Notamacropus eugenii: one gene and its partner. The protein of the gene in region 2 interacts with the protein of the main gene of each other region in a pairwise test. Links are inferred from orthologs where the notes say so. Each region holds a gene or a part of one and is shown on either strand. Other genes may lie near its edges.

Region 1 (15,114 bases), on a different chromosome or scaffold from region 2:
AGGAGGTCAAGGGATTGGCCCAGGTCACACTGGGCAATCAGAGGTGAGACCTGAACCCAGGTCTCATGACCCCAGAGACAGTGTTCTGTCCATGACACTTCCAGAAGTGGGCAAAGGGAACAAAACCCCAAAAGAACAAACAACCTCAAGTGACGGACTATTTGTCTGAATGTGGAGGAGGGGGATGCATGCTTCGGACAGGGCGTTGGACAAGATGACCCCCGATGACCCCAGCAGGCCCCACAGTGTCCTGATTATCAGTCCCCTCCTCCCCATGGCCTTTCTTTGTCCCCCCAGTGATGAGCACAGTGCCTAGCACATAGTGGGTCCCAGCCCAGATCAGATCTTCCATCTGGACACTACCCTAGGAAATCCCTCCCCCTACCCTCCGCCAACCCCCTCTTCCACATTCCAAAGAGGGGAATGGGGGATCAAGGGAAGCCTTTGGAAATGGGCAAGGGGCCCACCCTGAGGATGAATGGGCAGTGAGAGACCCCAGAGTGAGCCTGGGAGGAGCCTGGGCACTCACCTTGGCTGGAGCTGGTAAAATGGTTATAATACTGAGACACATAGGTCATGATGCTCAGGCAGTCGGGCACACTCATGGACACCATATCATTGGGATCCAGTAGGGCTGGGATACCCAGCTCCCGCTCTGCCACCTCAAACGCCTAGAGGGAGACAAGAGTCAGCCTGAAACACGGCTCCTGGCCCCCTATCCCCCACCTGATCCCTGCCAGGGCTCTCCTTGGCTCCCAGCCCCACAAACATCACTGTCTACATCCACCCTGCAGCCAGGAGAGGATGGGGAGGGCTGCTTCTGGGAAGAACTGAACAGCCTGCTTTCTCAGACACCTAGAGGGGGTGGGGACAAAGGAAGAGAAGAGGGGAGCAGGGCACTCCCATCAGAGACCCCACCCCAGGAGCCACTTCAGTCCCCAGCATCCAGAGCCCAGAGCCAGGCTGAGGGGCACCATGGAGGCAGGGAGGGGCTGCCCCAGATCCCAAGAGGACCCCCGCCTTCTCTCCCACTTTTGTTCTAGGCCCTTCTGTCTGGGACTCACCAGGCGGTTATTTTCATAGACATTGTCCTTGGAGAGCGAGTCAAAATCTCTGGAACAGACAAAGGTGAGAGTAAGGGATGGGCTGGACAGGACTCAGCAGGTTTGGTAGGGATGGGGGAGTCAGGGACCTGCCAGTTGCAGCGGGTGCACCTGGCACTTACAGATCCCTTCCCATTTGTATAAAGCCTAGAGGAAGAAACCCTGACTATCCTAAACACACACAACTTTAGAGGTAGAAGAGTCCTTAGGGCACAGAATATTAGACCATAGAAGACCTTGGAACACAAAAGGTCAAAGATGGGAGGGGCCTGAGAACAGGGGATGTCAGAGATGGGAGGGGCCTGAGAACAGGGGGTGTCAGCCCTGGGGGGCCTGAGAACAGGGGGTATCAGGGCTGGGAGGGACCTGAGAACAGAGGGTATCAGCCCTGGAGGGCCTGAGAACAGGGGATGTGAGCCCTGGGGGGGCCTGAGAACAGGGGGTGTCAGAGATGGGAGGGGCCTGAGAACAGGGGATGTCAGAGATGGGAGGGGCCTGAGAACAGGGGGTGTCAGGGCTGGGAGGGGCCTGAGAACAGGGGGTATCAGGGCTGGGAGGGGCCTGAGAACAGGGGGTGTCAGAGATGAGAGGGGCCTGAGAACAGGGGGTGTCAGCCCTGGGGGGCCTGAGAGCAGGGGGTATCAGGGCTGGGGGGGCCTGAGAACAAGGAGTGTCAGGCCTGGGAGGGGCCTGAGAACAGGGGATATCAGAGCTAGGGAGGGGGGCCTTAAAAGAGGGGATATCATGGCTTCCATGAACATGAGAAATCATTCTAGTATTTCAGGGACATCCATCATCTCATTCCACCCCCGAGGGATCTGAGAACTGGGAGTCAGTGCTTCTAAACTCTGACCATGAGTCCAGAGCAGCCCAGGACATGGACCCTGGTGTCCTGGCTCACATCCTGCCCAGCATCACCTCCTGCTCCTGTCTCCCTTTGGTGACTAGAAGCTCCGACCTGGGCCTCTGAGGGCCCCCTGAGCCCTTACCACCTCTCTACCCCCTTTTTTCAGACTGGTCACTGCAGTCAGGGAAGGGCAGAAGCTCTTTACCAGAAGGAAGGTGGGTTCTCCGGGAGAATCCGGATTGGAAAACCCTGATTAGGCAGCTAAGGTGCAAGGGCCTGGCTTGGTCGAGGGAGATCCTGAGATAAACAAGGGCCAGGCCTGTCTCTTAAGAAGCTTGATGCAGAGAAAAGCACATAGATTTAGACCAATTGAATTCAAATTGTGGGACCTTGGACAAGTCATTTCTCTCTCTCCCTGGGTCTCAGTGTCTTCATCTGTAACATGAGTTTAGACTAAATGGCCTCCAAGGCCCCTTCCAGCTCTGTTTATCTATGATCCCAGGCCTAGAGTCAGAAAGACCAGAGTTCAAATCCAGCCTCTGACATTTACTAGCTGACTCTGGGCAAGTCACTTAATTGCAGTCTACCTCAGTTTCCTCAATTGTAAAATGAAAACAAAAACTGCACCTACCTCCCAGGATGCTTGTAAGCATCAAATGAGACCCTTGTAAAACATTCAGAAGCATCTGGCACATAGGAGGTGCTTAATAAATGCACCTTGTTTCCTAACCCTATAAGCATGATTCTGCTTGGATCTGATGGTGTCTGGGGGTCCCTTCCAGGGGGCTACTACACTGAGTTTGGCAGTGATGGGAGCTGTTAGCAGGGCTCCAGATTCAGGAAGAGTAGAGGAAAGGTAGGCCCCTTTTAGCTGGGGGTCAGGTGGGGATGGCAATTCAGGAAGGCTTCCAGGAAAAAGTGGCAGCCAAGACTTGAAGAAAGCTGTTTTTCATAGGCCTTGGAGCTTCAGTCAGAGGGTCACATAATCAGACTTAGTCCAGCCCCTTTTTTTTTACAGAGGAAGAAATCAAGGCCCAGAATGCTTCAGTGACAGCCCTTCTAGACTGGGGAGAGCAGAGTGAGCAGTTTGTTTCTTCCACTATCTCTAAACTGTCTTTGCTCGGTGCACTTAGATGGGCTACCTGACTCAGTTCCCCATCACAGGACAGGGAAGGATGAGAAGGGGCCAAGGGCCCCATGGAAGGCCTCAGTGCCCTGGCCCAGCCCCCAAAGCAGGCACCCGCCCAGGCTCTCCAGTCCTTAATCCCCCACAGCCCCAGCAGCTGTCTGCACTTGAATGCTCAGGCTCCTGCATCATTTTCTGACTTAATTGTGTATGTCTCATCCTCCCTGCCCAGACTGAGCTGGTCTGGCAGGCGGAGGGGGGAGGGTTGCCATGTGGTCCACAGGTCTGCAGGTGATGGCCCTCCCCATCAGGTGTGAGCATGATTGGGGGGAGGGCAAGGGCAGGACAGAGGGGCTGCTGTTTCTCTGGGGAAGGAGGGGTCTGAGAATGGGTAATGTCAGAGCTAGGAAGGGCCTTAGAATGGCAGGGCTAGAAGGGGACTTAGAACAGAGAATGGCAAAGCTGGGAAGGGTCTTTGGAACAGGAAATGTAAGAGCTAGGGGGAAGGTGGGGTTGGTCCTTAAGAACAGGGGATGTCAGAGCTGGGGGGAGCTTAGAACAGGATGTCAGAGCTGGGAGCAGCCTTAGAACAGGAGATGTCAGAGCTGGGGGGAGCTTAGAACAGGGGATGTCAGAGCTGGGAGGGGCCTTGGAACAGGAGATGTCAGAGCTGAGGGGGATCTTAGAACAGGGAGTATCAGGGCTGGGAGGAAGCTTAGAACAGGGGATGTGGAAGGGAGCTTAGAGATAATTCTTTCCAACAACATTTTACAGCTAAAGAAACTGAGGCCCAAAGAGGGCTTGTGGGACTTCACTTCCTTCTAATCAATTAACTCACACAGTTGCCACCCCTTGCCCTGAATGGAGATGCCTGAGGAGCCCATCCATCCTCCTCATACCCCTCCTGTGGCTTTGGGGCCACTTGGTTCAGTTTCTGTACCTGTACAGGGAGCATCTGGCCCCAAAAGCCCTCTCAGGTGCCTTCTATGTTAACAGACCTAGAATTCTGAGACTGTCTCTGCCAGCCCTGGGAGGCACCGAAAACACCTCCCCTTCCCAGCCTGTTTTTCCAGCTGAGCCTGGAGCCTCACTCACCTAGACCCTCTCCCTCCCCCCCAGCTCCAAAGCCTCTCCCTCTCCTCGCTTCTCTCCATCCTGGGCAGCTGAAACCAGCCCTGCCCCCCCACATCAGGCAATGCCCTTGTAAGGCCCTGGTGTGGGGGGCCTGGGAGACTAACCAGGCTGCACATAAATGGGCACTGCGCCAAGCCCCAGGGCAGCTCCATCCATCCCCAGCCAGCCTGGTTTCCTTTCCTAAACTGGCGAGATCCGGGCTTGTTCGGTTTTTATTTTGTTTTCCAAGGTGGGGAGAAGGAGGGTTTCCTGTCATTTTATCAACAGCAGGAACTCATCCCAGTATGGAATCTCCCTCCACTGATGCAGACTGGCTCAAGTCACTTCACCCTGTTTGCCTCAGTTTCCTCATCTGTAAAGTGAGCTGGAGCAGGGAAAGGCAAATCACTTTAGTATCTTCGCCAAGAAAACTCCAAATGGAGTCACAGAGAGTCAGACAGGACTGTACAACAACACTTGCAAATACTGTCTTAGACTATAAATTCCTGGGGGCCATGAGACATTAATCCACCCTCCCAGGGCCCTACAGCCAATATGTATCTGGAAGCACTTGAACCTAGGCCTTTCTGACGTCAAGGTCACCATGCCAAGGTGTCTGTCCCCAAACTGTATACCCAGATTAAGGGAAAAAAACCCACAGCATGGGGTTGTGAGAGGCACATTGGAAGACTTGGAGGCCTGGCTGCTGTCCCTGCTCTAAAATTGAGCCTGTCCCACAAACACATATGTGCCACGCACCATACAAGACCTGGCTGCACACAGACATTTCTCCATCAGCTAGATCCCCCATCAGTCTGTAACCAGAGCAAGCTCCCTGTGCTAGGGAGCCTTGAGCCCCACAGACTGCTCTCATCTGCTCCCCTTACTGCACCTTACTATTTTGTCCAAGACAATATTGGCCTAAATTTCCTCCTTACCCACAGGGGCAGGACAGGGGCCTTCACAGCCCTTCAAAGTCTCACTCAAGGCTCTCCCAGACCCAGCCTACCACTCCCTGTGGGAGGGGCCTAGACCCCAGAGGAGCCTCCCCCTTCCCAAACAGTTCATTTGTTCAGGGGTAAGAATGCCAGGGCTAGCCAGGGAGGGAGAAGAGGTCTATACACCTGGTAGAAGCAGAGCACAGAAGTGCCCTTTAACCAGATGTTGTGAAACCAACTAACTTTTTACACACACACACACACACACACACACTCACATACACACATTCACACTAGATACTTGACACTGGGGGAAAGGAAGGCAAGAGAGAATCACTGACTCCTACTGCCAGAAGACCATCAGGGAGCATCCACATTGGCACCTCTGACATACAGCCTGGTGTGGCTTGGCACAGTACCAGAAGATCCCAGGGGCCAACCTGGTTCTGATACTTCCTGGGACCTCAGGCAGGAGGAAACCTGTGAGAAGAAAGCCATGGGTTTGGATCCTAACTCCCATGCTTTGGTCCCTTGGGCACCTTGTATCTCTGGTGTCCAGGTCAGGAGCTGAAAGCTTATCAGCAGCATCTGAGGATATTGAGTTGGAAAGGACTTCAGTGGCCAACTCTCTCACTTTTACAGATGGAGAAACACAGGCCCAGATAAAACGACTTCCCTCCTCTCACAGAATTCTGGATTTTTATCTTCATTCACTCACAGATTCTTGCCCTTGTCCATGAGAATGAGGATGGTCAAAGGGTCAGCCTTTCTGGCCCAACTCTGCTATTGATCTCAGAATCTTAAGGAACAGGAGGAAGGGACTTCCCCAATGTCACCCAGCAAGCTAATGGCAGGGCCCTGAGTTCCTGGGCCCCCCAGCAAAGTGCTTTCTCTGTGCCAGATTGACTGGTTCTAAGACCCTGATCGGCAGTGCAAAGGACCAAGCAGGGCACCTGAGTTCTGGTCTCAGTTTGGCCCCTAATGGGCCATGTGACTTTAAACACAGTCTTAGGCTCAGAGGCCTTCCCAGGCATCTAACCCAACCTTGAATTTTTACAGATAAGGAAACAGAAAATTACACACAGCTGGCAAGGCCTTCAGAAGCCCTGGAGCCCAACTCCCTCCGAGAGCGCCCAGGGTTCAAACGCTACTTCTGACACTTGGGACCCTCAGGAACCCATTCAGGCTCATCAGGCCTCAGTTTCCCCCTCTGTAAAATGCTGGGTGGCCTCTGAGGCTTCCTCCAAATCTTAAACTCTGTCTTCTACATCAGAGGTGTCGGACACACTGCCTACAACCTTCCAGAGGGCAGCCAAGTCAGATTAAAATCCAATTGGAAAATATTTAACCAAAAAAATTTACAATAAAACGTAGATAGCATTAGATTTTAAAACTAAGTCCATCTGTGGCCCACAGGGTTTGGCCTCAGCAGCCTCTGCCTTGGGCCCTGGGTGCCCCATCTGCACATACAGAGTTTAGACCAGATCTCCGAACCCCTGCTTGGAGCTGGGGCTGCTCCTGCCTCCGGGTGGTAGCCCATCTGCTGACCCACCTGGGGAGAGTGACCTCGGGAAGCGGCCGGAGGATCTGAGCAAGGCTTCGGGAACCTGACGGGCGGCTCGGCACCTCTCCCTCTCCCACACACTCACAGTCACACTCCCACAGTCTCACACACAGTCACCACACACACACACACACACTCTCACACTCACTCTCATACACACTCACGCTCGCACACTACACACACTCACTAGTCTCTCCCACGCCCTCCCAAAGGCACAGGAGGGGTCCCGCGCCCCCGTCGCCGCCCCCCCCCCGGCCCGCGGCTCGGCGCACACCGGGAGGTCGCGCGCGGTTCCCACGGCCTCCGGACCAAACGAAACTGACGAGCCTCTCTGCAGCCCCGCCCCGCAGGCCGGGTCCCCAGCCCGCCTGGCCCCGGCTCGAGGCGGGGGCGCACTGCCCCCTCCCCCCTCCTGCTCCCCGGCCCCCATCCCCCCGCGCTCACAGCAGCTCGGGCCGGTGCCGGTGCAGCAGGGCGCAGAAGGCCAGGCCGTCCCGGAAGGAGCCGCTCAGGTCCCGGATCTCCACGCCGGGGTAGCCGCGGCACTGCTGACGGCACCAGGCCAGCAGCGCGGCCCGGGGCCCGGCCATGGCCCGGCCGCCGCCTCCTCCTCGGACTGGACCCCACGGCAGCCCCGCTCCGGCCGCTCGGGCTCGGGCTCCAGGGCTGGGCTCTCTGTCGGCTCGGGCTCCTCCTCCTCCTCCCCCTCCCCCTCCTCCTGCCCCTCCCCCCGGCCCTGCTCAGACCTGTCCGGCCCCGCCCCGCCCCGCCCGGCGCTTACTCACGCGCCCCGCCCGGCCCGGCTCGGCGCACGGGGCGGGGCAGGGGGCGGAGGAGGCAGGGGGGACCGGGGGCCCACCCTCACCCCGCATCCCCCCTGGAGAGGCACCGCAGACCTCCCCCGCTCCCTCCCTCCAGCCCCGCGGGGGCCCCCCCAACTCCCGAGGTGCACGTGCCCGAGGGATCCCCCGGGGCCCCAGACCGACCGCGCCGGGGCTACCCTACCCTGAGGGCTCCCCGCTGCAGAGAGGAGCCGCCCCTGCACGGACACCCGAGGGACGGAGCCCCCGACGTCCCCACCAGGGCCTGATAAAGCCGAAGGGCCCCCCTTCCTCCTCGAGGCGGGCGAGAACTTCCTTCCTGGAATACCCTTTGCGCCCTCCTAAGGATGCCCGGCACGAGCCCTCCCCCTCCCAGGCCCGGGAGCCCCTCGCTGGCCTCGGGAACATCCTCCTCCAGGATCCGCCAAGTACCCCCCTCCTCCCGGCCTCCGCCCCCCAGCTCAGCCTGGTCTCCTCCCTGACGCCAGAGAGCGGCCCCCGAGGTGGGAGGCTGAACACGCGCACGGAGACAGGGGGTTCGGTAACCAGGACGTGGAGGAGCCTGGAGTCCGAGGGCTAGCCCTGCGGCTTGCACCTTACACGGCCTCTCGGGCCTCCGTTTCCCCGTCTGCACAATGAAAGGGCTGGCCTCTGAGATCTCCAGCTCCAGCTCTGGGGTCCGATGGCCCTAACCAAGCCTTCTTTCCCTCGCTGAGTCTCCATTTCCCCCTCAAGATCCCTCCCAGCTCTAAAAACTAGGATCCTCTAATGACTGCTTAATACTATAAGGATAATACTATACTAACATTTACCCAGGACTTACTGCTGATGTGCAAAGCCTTGGACCTACCAAAGTGAAAACCAGCAACAGTCTTTGCCCTGAGGGAGTTAATAAGCCTAATTGTGGGGAAGCAATAATATATACTTGAATTAGTATAGTACAGAATGTCCTAAAAGTCTTAGTGCAGTTTAAACTCATAAAAAAAGAGCGAGTGCAGAAGCTGCACTCAAACTTTTGGGACAGATCTAGTGTGTTGGAGACAAAATGCTTCTTTGGTTTGGGCAGCCCTGAAACTTTCAGTTGGACTAGGACCAAGGAAGCCTTCCTAGACAAGGTGGTCCTGAGCTGGACTTTTGGGGAAAAAGTTGTCACCAGGCCAAGCTGAGGATGGAGCACTTATCAGGCTGGAGAGGGATAGACTGTGCATGCATGAAAGGGATAAGATGAGAGCTATAGTAATGCTCCTGGAGTGGGCAAAGGGAATACTGTGAAAGAAAGCTGGAAAGGGGGATCGGAAGCCAGGCTAAGGTTTTTGTATTTTATACTCCACTAGCCCATCCCTGTAACTTTCAGGACCAAAGTTCCCCTCCTTGCCCACCACTGTGCTTGGCATGTAGACCAGGCTTAAAAAATGCTTTGACTTTCATTCTTTTATCCTGGAGGCAAGATCGAACCAATGAAGTTTAAGGAGTTAGGGAGTGACCTGGTCAGATTCATTTGGGGCCAAGTGCACCTTTTCTATGACTGGTAGATGGTTCTTGAGAGTCCCAGAGACTAACAACTATATCCTACTGTCGCTTAGCAAGGCTGGTCATTGGATTAGTCATACACTGTCACCAGGGCCCTTAGAATCTATGCCCTAGATCATTCTTGGTTTGTCTTATCTCCAGGTCTATGGTGACCTTCAGACGAGAATGGACAAAACCCAGCCATTATAAATTGTAAAGCTGCAAGCCACTACTAATAACAATGGCTATGATAAGCCAAACCACTACTAACAACAAACCACCATTTATAGCAAGTCCTTAGTGCTCGAGTAGGGGGAGAGATTTGCCCACTGTTATAAGATCAGAAATCTAAAGCTGGAAGGAACTTCAGCATCCCTCTAGTCCAGGCGTAGGGAACCTGCAGCCTCGAGGACCTCAAGTGTAATCCAAACTTCACAGCACAAATTCCCTTCATAAAAGGATTTGTTCTGTAAACACTGATTCAGTCAAAAGGTTGCACCCAAGGACCTAGAGAGCCACAGGTGGCCTTGAGGCTGCAAGTTCCCTACCCTTGATTCTAGGCTAACATCTTCAGTTTACAGAGGAAACTGAGGCTCAGGGAGCTGAAGAGATTTGCCCAGGGTCACTCAGGTAATAAATGTCAGGGATGGAATTAGCAGAGACAGAGCAGCTAGGTGGCTCAGTAGATAGAGTACCAGGCCTGGAGTCAGGGAGACTCATCCTTGTGAGTTCAAATCTGGCCTCAGATACTTATTAGCTGTGTGACTCTGGGAGAATCATTTGACTCAGTTTCCTCATTTGTAAGAAGAACTGGAGAAAGAAATGGTAAACCAACTCCAGTAGCTTTGCCAAGAAAACCCCAAATGGGGTCATAAAAAGTCAGACAGGACTGAACCCAACTGAACAACAACATGGAATTAGCACTCAGACCTTCTGATTACTAAATGAGGTGTTTTTCCCACTCCACTAACTTCACCTATTATATTATCATCACTCCAGTGATGTCATTCGGATGTGTCTGCTCAGCTGTGCTCCCAATCCCCATTGAGGTTGCTCTTTTAAGCAGGCAGCTGAGTCAGGGAGAAGCCAAGTAAGTGAGCTCCGCACATGGATTTACTGGAGAGGTTTCCCTAGCAATTATCGCATTTATGAAGCCTTTAATCCCAATGTGATGTCACTACCCAAAGGACAATAGGACTCCTTAAATCCATTCAACCAATAGTCATTAAGGTCTGTGCCCAGTGCCATGCTAGATACGGACGACACAGAGGAGGAAATGTGCTGCTCTCCATCATCAAAGCACTTACCACCAAGCAGATGGTGCCCCTCAAACAAGGGAAAGGACCTGAGCAGGACCAGGAGAGCACAGATTCAGAATCAGAGGGCAGAGCCAGAGATCTTTCCACTGTACCACAGATAATGCCTGTAGAGTTTATAAAGTGATTTGCATGTATGGTACAGTGGAAATAGTGCTTCTTTGGGTTAAAATCCTTCTGTCACTGTCTATCACTACATCCCTGAGTCTCAGTATCCTCGTCTATAAGATAAGGATGTTGAACCTCTGAGGAGTCTTCCAGCTGTAGGGTCTTATGACTTCTCTGGGCCTCAGTTTCCCCATTTGTAAGAGGAAGGGGTTGGACTAGAAGGTTTCTGAGGTCCAATTCTGTTTTCCCTTCTTAGGATACCTGCGATATTGCAGGCTCCTGCTCTCACAACCCTCCAGAGAGCAGGTAACCATCTGCTTCTTCCAGGTCTAGATCTGGCATCTCCTTGATGTCCCTTGTGACCTAACTGTGTGGCTTTGGACAAGGCTCTTGTTTCTCTGGCCTTTGATTTCTTTACCTGTAAAATAACAGGAGAAGGTTGGACAAGGTGATCCAGCTCCAGGCTGAAGCAATACAGTGTGACTTCTGTAACATGGAAATCTGATATGGCACTAATGGGCACTGGGCACTGATCCAACCCAATGAGCACTTAGTCAATGCCTACTGTGTGCCCTCAGAGGCTACAAGTTGTAGAGGAGGTGCAGGTCTGTGTTTGTAAAGGGATTTTCCTCACTGGAAGTTCCCTCTGCCAGTGAAATCACAAGTTTGGTTAAAAAACAAATTCTAGATGCTGAAGAAACAAAAGCTAAATAAAACGAGTCCCAGTTTCCTGGAGAGCCCTTTGGAAACCTTAAAGGACTAAAGAAACGGTGTGGGTGCTTTCTCCCTTCTGGAGAGGCCCCCAAGTCAAAATGGAGGGGAACGAAGGAACATGAACCTGTATGTAGAGTCCAAATGCATCAACTCTCATTTTACAGACAAGGAAACTGAGGCCCTCAAGATTCATAGGATCATAATTCAGAACACCTCCAAGGTCCCCTTAACCAACACTCTCATGCATCAGAAGCAGAAGTGGAATCCAGGTCTCCTGACTCCAGAGGCAGTGTTCTTTCCATGGTACAATTGATTAGAATTAAATTGGAGAAGGGAGTAGTTCCTTTGAGCTTCTGTCGATGACAGAAAGTGGGTGAGGAAAGAGCTTGGAGGATGGGAAGTAAAGGCCTTCGACCTGCCCTTGGATCTTCACAGCACCACCAGACCTGTCTCAGAAGGAAACAAAGAGACACACACACAGACACACACACACACACAGACACACACACACAGACACACAGACACACACACACACACACACACACACACACACACACACACACACACACACACACACACACACACACACACACACACACACACACACACACACCCCCAGCAGTGGGTTCCAGGCCACTGAAGAAAACAACCACCTTTCCTACTTGCTTACCAACTCATTAACAACCCCCTTGGTACTTTGTCCTGTCCTGACCCTAAGGCCAAAGCACATGCTTATCAGGAGAAATCACCTTGCCAAAGTTGCACCACAAAATGGGGGACAGTGTGACCTGACAGTTCAGCGTTCCCTGGAGCACTTCTGGTCCCCAGAGGCAATTTGTGTTCTCTTCTTAGGATACCTGTGAGATACATTCATCCTCCTTCCCATATTCCTCCAAGACCAGGCAGTCATTAACCTCCTAATAATACCAACTAACATCATAGAACAAGACTGGAAAGAATAAATTATGTATTCCCATTTTGGATGGCTTTCTGTGTCCATCATCACATCTGAACCTGCCAATAGCTGACTTTCCTGGCTGTTTCCCACCTTCCTGGGCTGTCCTTGACTCTTCCAGCACCCATGACCATCATCATTCTCACCCTCAATATTAACAAGCATTTAATGAGCTCTCGCTCTGAACTGGGCAAGCACTGATCCAAAGCATGAACTGAGTTTTGTTTTAAATCCTGTGCCACAAAGCATCACCTGCTGACCAGCAACATAGGGACAGTGGATAGAAAGCTGGCTTCCAAGTCAGGAAGGTCTGGATTCAAGTCCTGACACACCCTGGCTGTAGAGCCCTGGGCACCTGTCAGTGCCCTCAGGAACCTCTCTAAAATTATTACCAAAGCAGGTGCTGACAAGCTTTGGTAGAGGAAGTAGATTCCCCCTGGGAGGTCCCTACCCCAGTGAAGTCACAGGTCCAGCCCATGAGGATTATGCCCAAATGGGGAAACAGAGGCACAGAGATGTTCAAAGGGATATGCCCTCCTTGGAGTATTGAATTCTGAACAGATCAATACCTGAGCCCTCTGAAGCCCAGGGCACAAAAACTATTAAAATTATCTGTGTGGGATCATAACTCAAGCCTCTTTTGTTTAAAAAAAAAAAGTCATTTTAATAGAATACAAGCTTTTCATTGAATTATGGGTTTTTTCACTTAAATTTATATTGCAAGGTTGACACATAAAAATAAAACATTAATCTTTTCTTTTTAGGATGAGGTAAGGATTTGTAAAATAAGAGAAGAAAAATAAAATCCAGAAAATGCAAATATTACGTCAACTGTGGATATGATTCTAAAAAATGAAAGATTGAAGCAAAATGAAATATGAGAAGAGAAGTTTTTCATCTAAAGTCTCCCAGCTATGTCAGTAAGGGTACAGCAGGGATTAGAATCCAGAACCTGGTCCAGGGCTCTCTCTGCACCTGCCTCTCATTCACTATTCCAGCTTCCACAGTGGGAGCTGGGATGGAGTATCTGGTTCAGGGTCCAGGAGATCTCTATTTGAAGGGCAGAAGCTTGTAATACCTGGACCTCAGTCCAGGAAAATGGAGAAGATCCTTGTATCATCTGCCTTGTGGGGTTATGGGGAATAAATTTCATAGGATCCTCAGCCTGGGGCTGGTGGGGGCCTCAGAGGCCACCTCCCCCACCTCCTTCATTTTAGAGATAAGAAGACTGAGGCCCAGAGATGAAGTACAACAGCGAGAGAGGCAGCATTTTTGAAATCAGGTCCTCTGACTGCCAATCAGTCCACATTCCACTGTAGCATGTCACTGCTCTCATTGCGTCTCTCAAGGGTTTTTGAGGAGGCAGCCTGGCTTCCTAGATAGAATGTTGGACATAGAGCCAGGAAGACCTAGGTTCGAATCTGACTCCTGACACAAACTGTATGACCTTGGCTCTAGCCTCAGCTTCCTCACCTGTAAAATGGGGATCATAACACCTACAGTACTTCTCTCATCCGATTGTTATAAGGTTTCAGACGAGATCTTGTAAGAAATGGCCTTTAAAAATGCCCCTCCACTAACACACACCATTGTCTCTTCTACTAAAAATAAAACTCTAGCTCCTCCACACCTGTCTTCTCTCCGACCTTGTCCCATCAGTCATCACCTTTGGGCTGGAAGGAAGTAAATCATGGCAATCTCACTTCATTTCCTTTTCTGGCTCGATAAGTAGACTGACTGGTGGATCAGCGGGTACTGTTGTCATTTATCCAGATTTCAACAGAGCATTTGATGAGGTCTCTGGCACTAAGTTTGAGATGAAGAGACATGGGTTGGAGGATGAGATAATTACATAGATTTGGAACTGTGTGCATGACTCTGCCCAAAGATAGTCATTAATGGGTCAATGTCAGTTTAGAATGGAATAGAGAGATCCAGGGAGCCAGACTTGGCTCCAATCTTTTTTTTAAATCAGTGATTTGGATGAAGGTATGGACATTATATTGGTCACATTTGGAAACAGTACAAAACTAGGAGGAAGCTTAGCTAATGCTGGATGATAGATAGGGTCAGGAGCCAGAGACTTCTGGGTCAGAACTAAGGAAATGAAATTTGACAGGGAGAGACAAAAAATTCTATATTTGCCTTGAATGAAGGAACAGATGCCTGGGAAAAGCATTTAGGGTTATTAAGGACTTAGCACATACCAGGCCCTGTTAGCCATGGGTATACAAATGCAAAAAGCAAAGCAAAGCAGTCCCTGCTTTCGAGGAACTTAGGGCATTCTCTCTGGCTCTCCCCCAGATTTGGAAGGCTCTCACTCCTCTGCTCCAGCTAGTGACCTCTCTGGCTTCCTTTAAGTCCCAACTAAAATCCCACCTTCTGCAGGTATCCCCTTTTTCCTCCAGCACCTTTCCTCTGTTAATTATTTCCTATTTATCCTGTATATAACTTGCTTTGTATGTATTTGTTTGCATGTTTTCTCTCTTATTAGATTAAGTTCCTTGAGGGCAGGAACCGTCTTTTGCCTCTTTTTGTATCTTTGATGCTTAGCACAATGCCTGGCATATAGTAAACACTCAACAAATGTTGATTGGCTGATGAATTGACTGATTACAGAGGAAGGATACAGATAAATGAGAGTGGTGATGAGAAGGAGAGCTGTTCTGGTCTGGAATATCATAGGGATGGTGAGGGCTGCCATCTTTCTAGGAATGGCACTGTTAATTCAATTAATGTTGGGGGGGCGGGGCGGGGTAAGAAGGGATTGAAGATGATTGGAGATCATGTAGGTGGGTTTAGATCTGCTAGATCAGGGAAACTTTCACCAAACAAGAGCTTGGGGCCCATGGTGGGATCTGGAATGTTGGACTGGAGGTAGAGACTGAATCCAGTGGATCAACAAGCATTTTTAAAAAATGTTCTGTAAAAATTTAAATGAACAAAAATCTATTTTCTCCCTTTCCTACATTCCCCTACTACCACACCAACTGAGAGGGA
Region 2 (15,283 bases):
ATGTTCTTATCTGCATGTTCTTCCTTAGGCAGGCAACAGACCTAGTGGCAAGAGCATATAATTACAGGCAGACACTTGGAGAGCAAGCCAGTGGCCAAGGAAACAGGGGAAGAAGAGGCACATCCTTGGTGCCCAGATACAGTTTCCTCCCAAGTAAGCTGGGCATCCTGGTACCCCGCTAAGGACCTGACTGAGAGAATTCCTGTGTAACAGGAGAAGCTGAGATAGGGGAAAGAATAGAAAGACAGCTGGGTTCCTGGGCCACTAGCTTCCCCAAGGAGAAGGAAGAGTCTTGGCAGGGATGAGAGGCTCCGAACAATGACACAGTGAAGTCTGTATTGCCCCCCTAGGCCACAGATACCACTGGGCTGGCAGCATCTCTTGATATACTCTGCAACTCTCTGCCACAGAAGGTCAGCACCTACATAAGATCAGGGGTCTTGAACCATTTGTGTAATGGATTTTCCTTGGCAGTGTGGTGAAGTCTATGGAACTCTCTTTTCACAATAATGTTTTTAAATATATAAAATACGTAAGATTACAAAGAAAATGAATTATATTGTAATAATTATGAATTTTTTTTTAAAAAAAAGCTTCACAGACTCCAGGGTGCATTTTTAATCTCACTAGTGTTAAGGGAAAAAAAGGGGGGGGATTCAGCCTAACTTTGAAAGTGAGGAAGAAGAGGGTCTCTGCTCTATCCTTTCCCTGCCTTGGACGAAGAAGAATTTGTGATGGTCATCTCCTCCAAACACAATGCCATAGCCAGAGATGACTCAGACTGCTGAGGAAGGGGGTGTTGTATTTAACGTGGAAATTTTTCATAGTACAAAAGCACTTAACTCAGACCACTTCTCTCTGGCTCCCTTAGCCTCTTAAAGATACTGCCCTCAAGTTTCTCTGGCTTCTTACCCCTCTGGATATCTCTCAGAAACTGGCACTTTAAATGAGGGGGGTAAGCCTGTCTTAAGGGATGGGTCATAGAGAAGCTACTGGACCAGGAACCTAGTTATCTTCCTGTCCCTTCCCTTTGGGAATGGACTCAGACTGCTCTGAAATACATATGGGAAAAACTAACACTGGATTCCACAGACCTCAAAGGGTAAGAGCTGATCTGCTCCTATTACCCAATCACCCTTTCTTGCCACACTTCTTGTAAACCAGTCATACTCCTGTAAGCCTAATGCTGGCAATATTAATTAATAATAATAATTTCTTTATATAATACTTAAAGATTTACAGAGCTCTTTATATGCATTATCTCCCCAGAACCAATAACCCTATGAGATAGGTCCTACAGGTATTATTATCCCTACTTTAGAGAGAAAAATAAAATGGATTAGAAAGGCAGTGTAGTACAGTGGACAGAATGCTGGCCTTGGAAACAGGAATCCAGCTTCAGACACAAACTAGCTGTATGGCCTCAGTTTTTTCACCTGCAAAATGGAAATAAGAACAATAGCACTAACCTTACATAGTTTTTGAAAGGCTCAAATGATACAATAGCTACAGTGTTACGTAAACCTTGAAATGCCTTAGAAATGTGAGGGAGAGTTATTATTAAAGTGACTTTCCCATGGTCACATAGTGACTAATTGGATCTGCTACCAGAAAGAGCCAAGATGATGTTCACCGTAGTTCCAGTAGGCTACAAGCACAAAGAATCACAAGCATTTTTTTAAAATTTCCACGTGATCTGGTACCTCTAATTCTGAGCTTGACCTGTCCCAAAAGTTAGGAGTGATGAGCATACTTTCAGAGACAACTAGTACAACATCCATGATGTTCTTATCCTTAATTCGTAAATATATCTACTCAGTAGTTCCTTAGCCAGCCATAGAGTTTACTGGACTAGTGGAGAGGAAGGAATCGAGAACACTGATTTATCAAGCAACTACTATGTGCTTAGAAAGCACTTTCCAAATATTAGCTCATTTGAGGGAGGGAAGGGAATGAGCATTTATATGGTACTTACTACGTGTCAAATACTGTGTTAAGCCCTCTACAAATATTATCTCAACTGATCCTCATACCAATTCTTTGAGATAGGTACTATTATCATTCCCATTTTACAACTGAGGAAACTGAGGAAGAAATTAAGTGCCATTCTCAGGTTCACACACACAAACACAACATGCATGCACGTGCACGCATGTACACTGTCTCTCTCTCTTTCTCTTTCTCTCTCTCTCTCTCAGGCTCTAATCCAAAGCTGAGATCTTTTCCACAGCCACCCTAAAATGATGGTTTACCCAATCTCTGTCTAGATTTCACTAGTGAATGGAAGGCTCACTATCTCATATTTACCAGATCTCGTTAGAAAATTTCTTCATGAACGAAACCAAAATTTCCTTCCTTGTTAGTTTTACCCATTGGTTCTACTTGTATCCCCATGGAGTTATACAGAAAAAGTTAACTTCTTTTTTCATAAATCCTCTTTTTTTTTAAAGAAAGATTCTTTTGTTAAAAATTTATGTGATTCAGTAATGTAATAAATAAACAGATAACCATTTCACAAAAAATGATACAGCTATATTAAAGAAAAACATTAACTGGGGAAATTGCACACAGTGGCATGGAAGACTTCCTGTAGATACAAAATAAATATTAACAGCCTTTTTCAGCCAATAAGACCATAAAACAGCTCTTAAATTATTTAGAGATATTTATTGTTATCTCTTGATCTTTCCTTTTTCAGACTAAATCTCTCCAATTCTATAACTATCCTGGTAGCTGCCCGTACTGCCTACCACCTTGACAAAACTGAATTGACTGATGTCCTCCTTAAAGAGTGGCACCCACACTTGAATACACTATACAAGATCTGGTCAGTCCACCGCAGAGTAAGGTAAAATCTCCAGCTTCAGGTGGTATCCCTTGAACCATGGCAAGGCACCAACCTAAAACCCTGCAGCCAGAGCATGAAAGCTCAAACTTTTTACCATCATCATTTATGCTATGACACAATAAATAAAAAATAATCTCAATGTCAGGATTACCAAAAAATTCAACAGAACAATTTACAAAATGCTACTACTGGGAATACGAAAATTTTAAAATGTAACATAGTTCCTACCCTCAAGGAGCTTATCTTCTTGGAAGTGGAAAGGAATGAGGTGGGTGTTTTTTTTACAATGACCCAAAGAGGAAAGTGACGAAACATTGTTGTCACCATTTTGTGGACTAGTAAACTACAAAACAAAGAGACTCTCTTTAAGTTACTGCAGTTGATAGATGCCACATCACCATCCAAGGTCAGGGCTCTTTCTGCTATGCCACATGTTATGACTGGAATGGAGTTATGAAGGAGCTTGCAGTTCACAAAATGTCCTAAAACACAAAGCATAGACCCTTCTGGGATCAACCCTCAAGGCAAGCTGTTAAGACAAACTGATCCTGTAAAGTCCCCTCCAGCCCAAGCAGTCTGTCACTCCAAGGAATGGGCAGTCTTCTCTCAAGGTAATGAGCATCTCTTAATATTCTTACTCACACTGGACCAAAAATCTGGAACTCAGAGTTCTAATCCTGGATGGCCAAGAACTATTGGTCACCTTAAGAGTGTCATTTCTCCCTCTGGGTTTTTGTTTCCTCATCTATAAAACAAAGGGATTGGGATGATGACTAAAGTCTCTTTCAGCACTCATAAATCAATAAAGACCAAGTTCAAGAAAAGGAAGAGGAAAATCTGACATTTCCCCCATGTGAGATCAAAGACTTAATATTTGGGGATGCAAAGGAGACCAAAGAAATGCGGATGGACAACCAGTACTTAAACCGTTTTTGCATCATCACAGAGGGGCAAATGATTGGACAAGAGTAAACAATACCAGGGTTTAAATCCAATCTCTGATACTTCCTGGTAGGGCAGGCATGGGCAAGTCAGCTAACTATCTGAGCCTTTGTTTCATCAGTAAAATGGCGCTAATATTTGCAGTAATTTACAATTAGGAATATCAGGACTTTTGTGAGAATCAAATGAGATTATGTTATGTGAAATGCTTTGCAAACTTTAAAGTTCTCTCCATAATAATAATAATAGCCAATATTTATATAGAACTTATTACGTACTGTGCTTAGTATTTTACAACGTGTACTTAGCATTTTACAATTATTAACTCATTTGATCCTCACAACCACCATGTGGGTAGGGGCAATTATGCCTATTTTACAAATGAAGAAAATGAGGCAAAAATGGGTTGCCTAGGAATCACACAGCTAGTATCTGAGGCTAGATTTGAACTCAAGTCTTCTTCCTAACTCTAGGCCCAGTGTTCCATCCTCTGGGTCACCAAAATTAAATGCCTTATCCTCCATGTTCTTTCTCTGTGACGATACTTTGTCACCATCCTCTTTGCACACAAGTTATGGGGTTTTGAAGGCTCAATCATTAGGCTACGTACAATGTAGCAAGTCTCAAGATGATTTGTCCATGTATGTCTACTTTTTCCTGGTCGCTTTTGGTAGCAGGGCCTCTACAAACCAAAAAATGAAAATACACACAATTTTTCTCAGTATTTTGTTTTTGGAGGGAGCAGAATTTTTGACCTGGGTAAGTGCCTAGAATATTTTTGCGATCGCCAGTCCTTCCAAAAAGAGGACCTACATGGAAGTCCCCATCATTCCCACCACCCAGAGGCAACAGGGAGCAAAGCCTCCCCGAAATTCACATAACCACGCAGCTACATGGGAGATGGTCCTGGAAGCCATTTCTATCAAAGCTTTCTGCTTTAAATTGATGCATATGGATACTTTCCCACAGACTCCAAAAGAGGCTCTTTTCCCAACCCAAATGCAACTATCTAACCCTTCCACAAACCACAGTTGCAGCTGCTGTCCCTAACCCATCCTGATCTAAGCAAGCTTAATTTCACTTGTAGTGATAATTCCCATATATGAAGGAGTGTGGCTCTCTAATGTCCTGTCTTAAGCCCCTATTGATTTCAGAGATGGAAATGACAGGAAGTCAAGCCTTTCATGGCTGTCCTGGGAAGGTATTTACACCAGGGTCCTTCCCGGTTAACCGAGAACAAGGAAGGAGAAGAACAAAGTCATGTGTGCCTCAGTGGACTCAGAAACATCCTGGAAACTTTGGAACTATGGAAACCTAACCACAGCTTTACTTAGCCATCTCCTTCATCTCTCTCAGGCTGAGTATTAGGGAAATAATATGGCCAACTAAGCCCCCACCCCCAATCCCTTTGTAAGGCAAAAAGGTTATGCAAAAAAGTAGCTAATTCAATTGACATCCAGCACTACATATAGAAGAGTGGAATGGGGTGGTACACAGGGGGCAGAGGAACTTTTCAAATACCAACTCTGACACTATCTGTGTTACCTTGAACAAATCACAACCTCTCTGGGGTTCAGTTCCTTCATCCACAAAAAAATTCAAGCATTTATTTATTAATCACCCAACTACATGAACATAAAATGATGGGGGTTGGCTAGCTAACCTCTAAGATGCCATTCAGCTCTAAATCGATGATCCTAATTTTTCTCTGAGCTCCAGACTGTCTAAAAATATTTCAAGATGTTCGCAGGCTTTGCGTGTGGTGGAGATTCTAAGGAGGTGGAGGTGGGGCTCCGGGAGCTAGGCTCTTTGGAGGTTTTGACACATTCAGATCTATCTAGAGGGTGATGGAAGTTAAGTTCTCTCACCTGATGAAGGTGGTCTTCCCGGTGGAATACTGGCCCACGAGGAGTACCATGGGTTTATTGTCAAAGTCTGCATCTTCCAGGGCAGGGGAGTGAAACTCGTGAAACCTGTAATGCTCTTCCAAAGGGAGCAGCTTGGTCTTGTAGAGTTTCTTGAGCCCCTCGCTCACAGTCTGGAACACCTCCGGGTCCTTCCTCCTTCGGTCGTCATGTCCAAGCCAACTGAACATCTCGGCTGAGCGGGGGCTGAAGCTCCCCTATGGCCTCTCCCAGGTGTCCGCTCTCTCTCCTAGTCTAAGAAATAGGCAGGAAGGGAGCCCCTGCCCAGCCCCCAGCTCTCTCTGCTTTTTCTAACAGGGGAAATTGCTAGCAAAACTGGGTCCGATTTATTTTAAAATTCGGATGGTGAGAAGGAAAAACACAAAACCTCAGCCCCCCACCCCGCAGGCAGGAACACCCCTGGGCTCCTACACACAGGCGCAGACACCCTTGATCTCACTGCGCCTTGCGGCTCACCAGCATCCTGTCTAAGGCACACTGGCTGCGCTCGGTAAACTGCCCGAGCCGCAATGTGCTCCCCCTCAGTGCCTCCATCCACCGGAGAAACCGCGTGGGGAGGGGGTGGACAATGAAGGACCTGAAGGACCTCGGGGCTATGCAGTCCTATCTGCAATCAGGGTGTCAGCCGAGCTCCCGGCCGTCCACCCCCGCCTTCCCCCAGCCGCCCGTGCTGACGGCTCGGGCTGAAGCTGCGAGGAAGCGCTGAGTTAGAATCCCCCCGCCCCGGCTCCCCGCGAGCCCCGCAGACGCCCGGGGAGTGGCGAGTGTCCCGCGGTGCCCAGGAGCCGGCCCGGTCCAGGTCGTCCCGGGAGGAGCCCCGGGAGCAGCCGGCTCTGGCTGTGCTCGGCTCAGCGCCTGCGGACGATGCGGCGGCGGCGGCGGCGAGCGCGGCAGCATGCCCCAGCCTGTGCGGCGGGGCTTAAATGCCAGCCCCGCAGGAAACCGCGGAGCATCGGAAGTGCCTTCTGCTGGCAAGCCCCTGGCGCGCTGCTGGGCGAGCTGAAGCCGCGCAGGGAGCCGCCATGCTTGTGGGCAGGGCCAGGCCAGGGGGATGGGAGCGCTCGGCAGCCCGAGCCGCAGGGGTGCGCCGGCCTGGGAAGGCTGCCGCCCAGGTGTGGCTGCGAGGACGCGGCGCCCCCCTGGGGACGGCGCTGAGGGTGACCGCGGCTGATCGAGTCCCCTCCCCGGCAGCCGCCGCCCCCTGCGGGCTAGAATCCAGACTGTTTGTGACCTCGGAAGGCTCCTGCCCCTGCCCACCCCGAGGTTCAGTGCGTGGCATTTACCCAGGTTAGAGCTGCGGCTGGGCGAATCAGCCTCTGGCCCGGGGTGAAAGGAGGCATCTCTTCCTGCAGTCAGCTCTCTCTCATACCAGAACCTAGCCGGAGAGGGAAAAGACGGCTTTATATTATTTGCAAAACATGTTTAATTTGTTTAGCTTCTATGGGTTCTCTATATGCCCCCGGGTTATCTGGGGCGGGGGGGGGGGGGGGGCGAGGAAGGGGGGAAGGGGAGGGAAGGGTCCAGGCCTGTGACTTCATTTCTGCAGAGAACTCTCCGTGAGCAAAAGGTCTTCTCCCCGTGCAGATCTGGGGCTTCCAGTCTTGGACAGTTGTCCTGGGGGAACGAAGAGGTTAAGTGACTTGCCTAGGGTCAGGTGGTTACAGTGTGTTACTGCCTGGATCTAAACTTATGTTCCCTGACTCCGAGGCCAGCTCAGTTTCCATGGCCTCTTGTTGCTAGGAGTTTAGGCTATTAAGTAGATATAATTTTATTTTCTCTAATGTCACCAAAGCCTAATTTCATTTTCTCATGCAGTCATTCCTCATTATGCTGCTGCTGCTGTCAAGAGACAACGAAAATACCTGTAACTTTGGCTGCAGTGCCTCGCACAGAGGCTGGCACAGTGTAGGTGAAGCAGCAGCAAAGTGACAAAGTGGATAGAGCATTTGGACCTGGAATCAGGAAGCCTGGAGTTCAGATCCAGCCTCAAACACTTCCTAGCTAGGTGACCCTAGGCAAATCATTTAACCCCTGTCTTCCTCAGTTTGGTCAACCTTAAAATGGGGATAATAATAGTATAATAATAGTATCTGACCCTCAGGGTTGTTGTGAGGATCTAATGAGATCATTAAAAAGTGCTTAGCATAGTGCTTGGCACACTGGGATTATGTGAATACTAGCTATTATCATTATCATTATTATACGTGAACAATTGGGTCATTCAGTAAACATTTATTATCAACTTACTCTGTGCCAGACACTGTGCTTAAGCCCTGGGATATGAAGAATGACAAAAAACACTCCTCATCTGAAGAGATGCTTCAAGACTTCAGATTGTCCTATTAGGTCAGGAGGAGCTGCTGGACCTGACCGAATCCATATGGATGAAATCTGTGCTAAAGATGACATGGTTTTAAAGGCAAAAACAATGAGGCACTCAAAGAACAATTTATAAGATATTTCAAAGAGGGAAGATTCCAAAAGAATGGGAAAAATCACAGATGAAGCTATTACTAAAAAAAAACAACCATTACCCACATACCTATCTGTTTTCTCATCTGTAGGAAATCTATGAAAATGGTCTTTGCATCCATTAAAAAGTGTCTTTGGTGAAAACATGAGAAAGAAATAGAGTTTACTCAAATTTTTCCAATACTGTTTTGTTTTTGCCTAGGTTTTCCCAGCTTTTAGCACAGAGCCTGGAACATAGTAGGTTCATAATAAATTCATTTTTAATTGAATCCAATGGACTACAGTAGTCACATCTTTATAGTCACTCAGGTGAGAGATGTTAGGATTCTGCTGTGTTTATTATTTATTGATTTTTAAAAAGCATTTGACTTGGAAAAACAAAGTAGATGAAAAATGCATTACTGTCTGGATTTGGGTAGCCTATTGCAGATGAACAGTGAGTAGGACCCAGAATAGAGTAGAAAGATGAGACTAAAACAGATTGCATTTAGATTCATGTGTTCCTCTCAGTGATTTTATACTGCTTGTTGCTCCAAAGGACTATGTCTTTATTAATATTTGTCATCACATTTTATTAATTTATTTATTAACATATTTAATTTAATATATTTATTAATATTCTCCTGATGTTGCTCAACTTATCTATTTTTCTTTTAGGCCTGTTTCTCTCCTTCCTCTGTACCAGGAGTGGGGAACCTACAGCTTCAAGTTCACATGTGGCCTAGGTCCTCAAGTGTACCCCTTTGATTGAATCCAAATTTTACAAAACAAATTCTTTTATTAAGGGAATTTGTTCTGTGAAATTTGGATTCAGTCAAAGGGCCACACTTGAGGACCTAGAGGGCCACATGTGGACTTGAGGCTGCAGATTCCCCATCCCTGCTCTATCTACACTCTTCAATTTGGTGATCTCATCCTCTGGCTTCAATTGCACGTTTCAGTAAATGACTCTCAGATCTCCAACCCAAAAGCTCTAGTCACATATTTCCAATTATCTACTGGATAGCGCCACCTGGCTAGTCTGTTAACAGTCAGTCAGTCAGCCACCATTTATTGAACAGTTAACATGCACTGGGCTCTGTGCTAAGAGCTAAGACAAAAACTTTTGCAAAGGCAAAGACAAAGTCAAACAAAAAACCAGCCCCTGCCTTCAGTAAACATATATTCCAATGAAAGAGACATGTAAATTAGGAAGTACATTCAAGAAATATCTATATATCATCTATATGCCTATGTCCATCCACATCTCTCTCTACATAGACGTAAAAGGTGAAAGGTACTCTAAAAGGTGAAAGAATTAGCAGCTCACACCACAAACCTTCAAACATCTGCAAACACTTGTCCCATCTTCTTGCTTAAATCCACTTCTCCCCCTAATTTTTCTAGTTCTCTCAATGGCACTGCCATCTTCAAAGACACCCAGCCTGATACTATGAGTCTTTCCAATCTTATGCCCCATATTGGTTGGTCTTCAAATACAGTCTTTTCTCCTTACACATGTTCTCTTGAATCTAGCCCTGTCTCACCATCCACAATGCCTTCATCTTTTCTCACTCTTTTGTCATAAAAGCCTCTTTGTTGGTCTTCTTACCCCTAACCTATAACCATTCCACATTCTCCACAACACTGATAGAGTATTCTTCCTAATAAACCACTATAATTTTTATTCTTTTATTGAGAAGACTTCAGTGGTTCTCCATTGCCTCCTGAGTGAAGTTACTCTCAAAATTTTGATGACGTTTTGGAAAGGGCACTAGACCTAGGGTCAGGAAGACCTCTGTTCAGATTTGGCCTCAGAATCCAATTTACTGTGTGACCCTGGGTAAGTCACTCAATCTCTATCCTCCTCAGTTTCCTTTTCTGTAAAATGAGGATAATATTACTATCTACCTACTTAGTAGAATTGTAAGGATAAAACAAGATATTTGTAAAGCACTTTGTAAACCTTTAAAATATTTACATCTTCGACTGCCTATTAGAGATCTCAAATTAGATGTCTTATAGACATCTTAAACCCAATGTGTTCAAATCTATACTCATTATCTTTTCTCCAAACCCATCCCCCTTCCAAACTTCTCAAATACTGTTAAGGAGACTACCATCCTCCCAGTTGCTTCAGCTCTCAACCTGTTCATCCTCAATTCCTCACTAGTCTCACCCTCTGCCTCCAGTCTGTAGCTGGGTACCTTGGTACTGTCTCTCAAGTATGCCCCTTTCTCTCCTCTGATGCTGCCACCATCCTAGTGCAGGTCCTCATCTCAATGTATCAGGAAATATTGCAATATCCTGCTGGAGGGTCTGCCCTCTTCAAGTCTCTCCCCACTTGGATCCATCTTCTACTTAACTGTCAAAGTAATTTTCCTGAAGGACAGTCCAACCGTGCCACCTACCTACTCAGTAAAGTCCAATTGCTTCCTATTGCATCCAGAATTAAATATAAAATCCTGTTTGGCATTCGAAGCTCATCATAACCCATCCTGCCTTCCCTCCCTACTTCTCTAATCGTATACCATCCCTGCCACATACTCTTTGATCCAGTGACACTGGCCTTCTTGCTGTTCATTGAACCAGACAGTCCATCTCTTAGCTCAGGAGAGATATTGTCACTGGCTGTCCTCTGTGCCTGGAATGATCTCCCTCCTCATTTCTGCCTACTGGCTTCCTACTGGCTTCCTTTAAATCCCAACTAAAATCCCACATTTTACAGAAAACTTTTCCCAGTCCTCTTAGTTCTAATTCCTTCCCTCTTTTATTTATTTCCCCTTTTCCTATAAATAGCCTATTTTTACATAGTTGTTTGCATACTATCTCCTCCATGAGATTGTGAGCTCAGCAAGGGCAGTGACCATCCTTGTACTTAATAAATGCTTATTGAATAAATTGACTAATTGATCAGGGTATGTGCAATAGAACTCCCTATTCCTGGAAATTATGCCCCTCTTAATATAGTCCAGGATCGCATTAGTTTGTTTATCAACAATTCTTCCAAGTTAAAAAATGGCATTCCATAAAAAATTTTTTAAAAAACCCCAAAGACTAATTTAGCTTGCAACTCAACCATTGAGAAAACCATTGGACTTTGGTATACAGCAGAAGTGCTGTATTTGTTCTTCCTGTTTCATCATGCAGAGTATTAAAAAGATATGTTCTCAAGACTCAGGTTTTAATCAAATTAATAATATTTGTTGTTCTTCAAAGCCCTTAAATGAAACCAGCTTTTTTTTGCTTTTAAATTATGAGTACATGGCAGGAAAGAATATAATGATTATTAACAGTTTGTTGCCACTGCCCGGATTTATGCTAAGGCACCAGCAGTTTTATCCACCATTTTTTTCTACTATTATGACAAATGTCAACAGAGTAGTTCCAAGATAAACCACAAGACTCAAAAATTTTATTCAACATTTTGAATATTTCAGCATCACTTCTCTTTGTTGCCAAGCCTTCACATGAAAGAAGTTCTTTTTCAATGATTAGTTGGTGCGGATACTGGATGAATACAAGCAACAAGGCTCATAGATTTCATACATTTGCAAGGCAAATGGATAATTCTGCAGAGGAGCTAGTAGCTTGGTCTTCCTGTTTACAGTTAAATCTTTAATTCTTAGGTCATGCAGCCCCAGGAAAACTCGTCTGTACACTGCGAGAGAATGAGAGTGTTTTAAAAGGGCAAATAATTTCTTAGTATTATTATACCCACTTGAAAGGGTACCCAAGGGTCTGTGGATCACATTTTAATAATCATTGAACTAGATCAGGACTTCTCAAACTCTTTCCACTCTCAACCCTTTTTTTTGGCCAGTTGGCATTGGATGCCCCGAGGGCATGCATGGTGCAAAGTGCACATGCTTTGATTCAGAACCAAAGCTGCAGTAAAACTGTGTGATGCCACATGGGTAAGCGCTGCCAGAAACGCCTCGGATTCATTACACATTTGGTTTTTAATCATTTTTGGTCATTGTGAGTTCAGAAACCTTTTACTGTTGCCAAATTTTTTATGACCCCACATGGGATCATGACCTACAGTTTAAAAAGTACAGAGCTAAATGACCTCTAACGGTGCCTTCTGGCTCTGAATTGATGATCCTATTGTCCGGAGGCAAAAAAAAAAAATCATTGAGAATATGCATGGCAGATTTATTGGGTCATAGGAAATTATAAAAAGGACAGCTTCATAGAAACCTTAGGAAGATTCCTATGAACTGATGAAAAATAAAGTGACCAAGAACAAGGAGAACAATTTTTAAAATATTTTTTCAAGAGGAGCAATATTGTAAAGAAAAACAATTTGGAAAACTTGAGAACTCTAATGAATGCAGGGACTAATCACAGTTCCAGAGGACCAAGCATGCTACCCATCCCCTAAAAGAGAAGTGATGGACAAAAAATGAAGAATAAGGCATACAGTTTTGGAGACAGCTCAATGGGGGAATTTCTTTTGTTGATTATGTATATTTGTAACATTTATTTATCCTCCCTTCCCTTCCTCCCCTCCTCAATGCCTCTCCTCTCTTCTCCTTTCTTCTCCTCTCTTTTAATTTCAGGGTTATGGAAGGGAAGGAGGTAGGTTAGAGACAGGGTAAACAAAATTTTAAAAAAAAGAAAAGGAGGAAAACAGGGACATCAAAACATTTTTTAAAACACAGAAGAGAACAGAAGGGAAGTCAGAAAGAATCACAGACAAGCAGGGAAGCTTTGAAATTACATGTTGAATTTACCACATGTTTTTAAAAGAAAAACAAGCTGTATATAACAGAGATTTGCAGTTATATGTACAATCTTTTTTGGATTATTTTACTATATACATGAAAATACCCATAATGTTTGATGTTTTGTTAAACTAAGAATTAAATTTAAAACAACATTGACAAAGGAGAGTGCATGTAACTGGAAAAGGAGGTGAGTGGGTCACATATGGAGAATGAGAAACTACAAATAGAAAGTTCAAGGGCTACCCTAAGATATGGAAGGGAAACAGAGACAGTCATCTGGGGCCATTAGGTAGATAGTTTATAGAGAATGTATGTAATGACATGGGCAAGAATATCCTAAGAGAAGAAAGCATGGAGGATTTAGGAGCTACACCAATAGAGGGAACATACTATGGAGGAAATCATAGATAGGAAGAAGGGAGGGGAGGAAATAAACATTTATTTAATACCTACCATATCCAGGCACTGTACTAAGAGCTTTTTTTAAAACAATTATCTTCTTTGACCCTTACAACAACCCTGCAAAGTAAGTGCTATGATTATCCCCATTTTACAGCTGAGGAAATTGAGGCAAACAGAAGTGAAGTGACTTGCCCAGGGTCACATGGCTAGCATGTTTCTGAGGTCCAGTTTGAATTTGGTTCTCCATGACTGCAGGCCCAGCTTCTATCCATTGCACTACTAGCTTCTTCCATGAAGGTATCTAAGTGTTTAAGCTGAGTATTTTGAGAATATTTTGACTTTACTTCTATTTCCTGTTAGTATTGTGGTTCACCATTTGATTAATACAGATTCCTAGAGGGACCAAGTTGATCTTTCAGGTCAATTAAGGGTATCAAAGAAATGAAAAAAATGAAGGCCTTGAGACAAAGGTTTCCAAAGCTTGGAATGAAGTTTCTGATTCTTATTCCTTTAATGAGATTCTTCCCTTTGTTGTAGAATCTGATGAAGGAGAGGACATTCTTTGCCTCATTTCTTACCTAGCCTTAATCACTGAATGGGCACTGCCTCAGTCATACTGAGACCCGGGAAAGACCTTAGCTTAAAAAGGCCATGGTCTCCCAGTGCTTCCAGGGCCGTCTCTAGTTATCATGAACTATATTTTACCCATGGACCCAGATGGCTCCTGAGGAGAAATTGAGACTGGTGACTTTGCACAGGCCTCTCTCAAATCCAATTCACTTGCAAATCATGACATCAATTTCCTGATGTCCTTCCAGAAGGAACAACAAACAACCACAGGATCCAGGATGAGAAGGGTTCTTTTGAAATAAGCCACTTTGGTTAGAGGCACAAAGAGGTGTTGATACTAGTGAATTCAAAAGCTTGCTGTTTACACACATGTCCCCTTAGAAGAGACTCTCAAAACAAACTTCAGTCTAGAGGATTTTTACAACTCTCCATAAGAGTTTACCCATAACATTGATATATTTGCAGTCAGAGGCCTAACCTTCCAGTCTACACTGCTCCACTTCCTATTTGTGGGGTTTTTGTCAGGCCATTTAACCTCTGTTCCCCTTTATAAAATGAGGGGGCTGAATTAGATGGCCTCTAAGGTCCCTTTCAGCTTGAATGTGCCAACCCTGTGGTTTTTGTAACACTTCAGAGAGACAGTGATGATCCACATATTATCTCATCAGAGCCTCCTGACAAGCCTATAATAAGTAGGGCAAGAATGATCATCACCAGTGCATAGATTTAGAACCAAGACTCAAAGAGATTGTGACCTGCCCAAAGTCAGACAGTAAGTGATCGCACTCCTCTGGGGCTGACCCTCCTAGCTTCTCCAGTTTTTGTCCATATTGCTGACTCAGACCATGGTGTGGTAAAGCTGAAATGCTACAAAATTGTAGCCATTTCTGACCTCCCAAATCATCATGTTCATTAAAGTCTAAATTTTAATAGGATCGGAATGAAAACTATTAGTCATACAGCCAGAGTCCAATGTCTTCCTATTACTGCTAGGATAATATAACAAATCTTCTGTTTAACCCTGAAGGCCCCTCTAAATTTGGCTCCAACCTATTTTTCCGGGATGATTTCATATTTTTCATTCCTCATATGCCAAGTTGGTCTTCATTTCCCTATTCCTGGTTTGGTTCTTGCTTCTAGATTCAAAATCATGTCTTGTATCATCGTGAAATTTCCCTCAGTTGGTGGGGTCACCTCTCCTTGGAATATCCATCTTCTCTGTGGCCTTCTCAACCTGGATTATCCCTCCCTAAGGTTTGCCCCCTTCTACTGCTGGTGAGTTCTTCCTGGAGCCTCCGTTTTGTGGACTGTCCCAGATCTACCTTTATTATTGTTCTGGACCTGTTCTGGCTTTCTAAACTTAAATCATGTCCCCACATTGAATACCTTCATTTGCCTATTCCTCTTCTCTC

What was found.
Region 1: the proteins of EHD3 (region 2) and MICALL1 interact in binary tests that used the Homo sapiens proteins (3 or more experiments, as listed by UniProt). The link is inferred for Notamacropus eugenii from reciprocal best matches to the Homo sapiens genes EHD3 and MICALL1.

The regions. Positions count from the first base shown.
Region 1 is NC_092874.1:295,397,431-295,412,544, reverse strand, and holds the start of MICALL1 (MICAL-like protein 1), read right to left. Parts: upstream 7,933-15,114; 5' UTR 7,921-7,932; coding exon 7,697-7,920; intron 7,371-7,696; exon of another isoform or gene 7,282-7,370; coding exon of another isoform or gene 7,136-7,281; intron 1,114-7,135; coding exon 1,065-1,113; intron 672-1,064; coding exon 530-671; intron 1-529. UniProt on the Homo sapiens protein: Lipid-binding protein with higher affinity for phosphatidic acid, a lipid enriched in recycling endosome membranes. On endosome membranes, acts as a downstream effector of Rab proteins recruiting cytosolic proteins to regulate membrane tubulation.
Region 2 is NC_092872.1:533,836,744-533,852,026, reverse strand, and holds the start of EHD3 (EH domain-containing protein 3), read right to left. Parts: upstream 6,619-15,283; 5' UTR 5,886-6,618; coding exon 5,659-5,885; intron 1-5,658. UniProt on the Homo sapiens protein: ATP- and membrane-binding protein that controls membrane reorganization/tubulation upon ATP hydrolysis. In vitro causes tubulation of endocytic membranes. Binding to phosphatidic acid induces its membrane tubulation activity.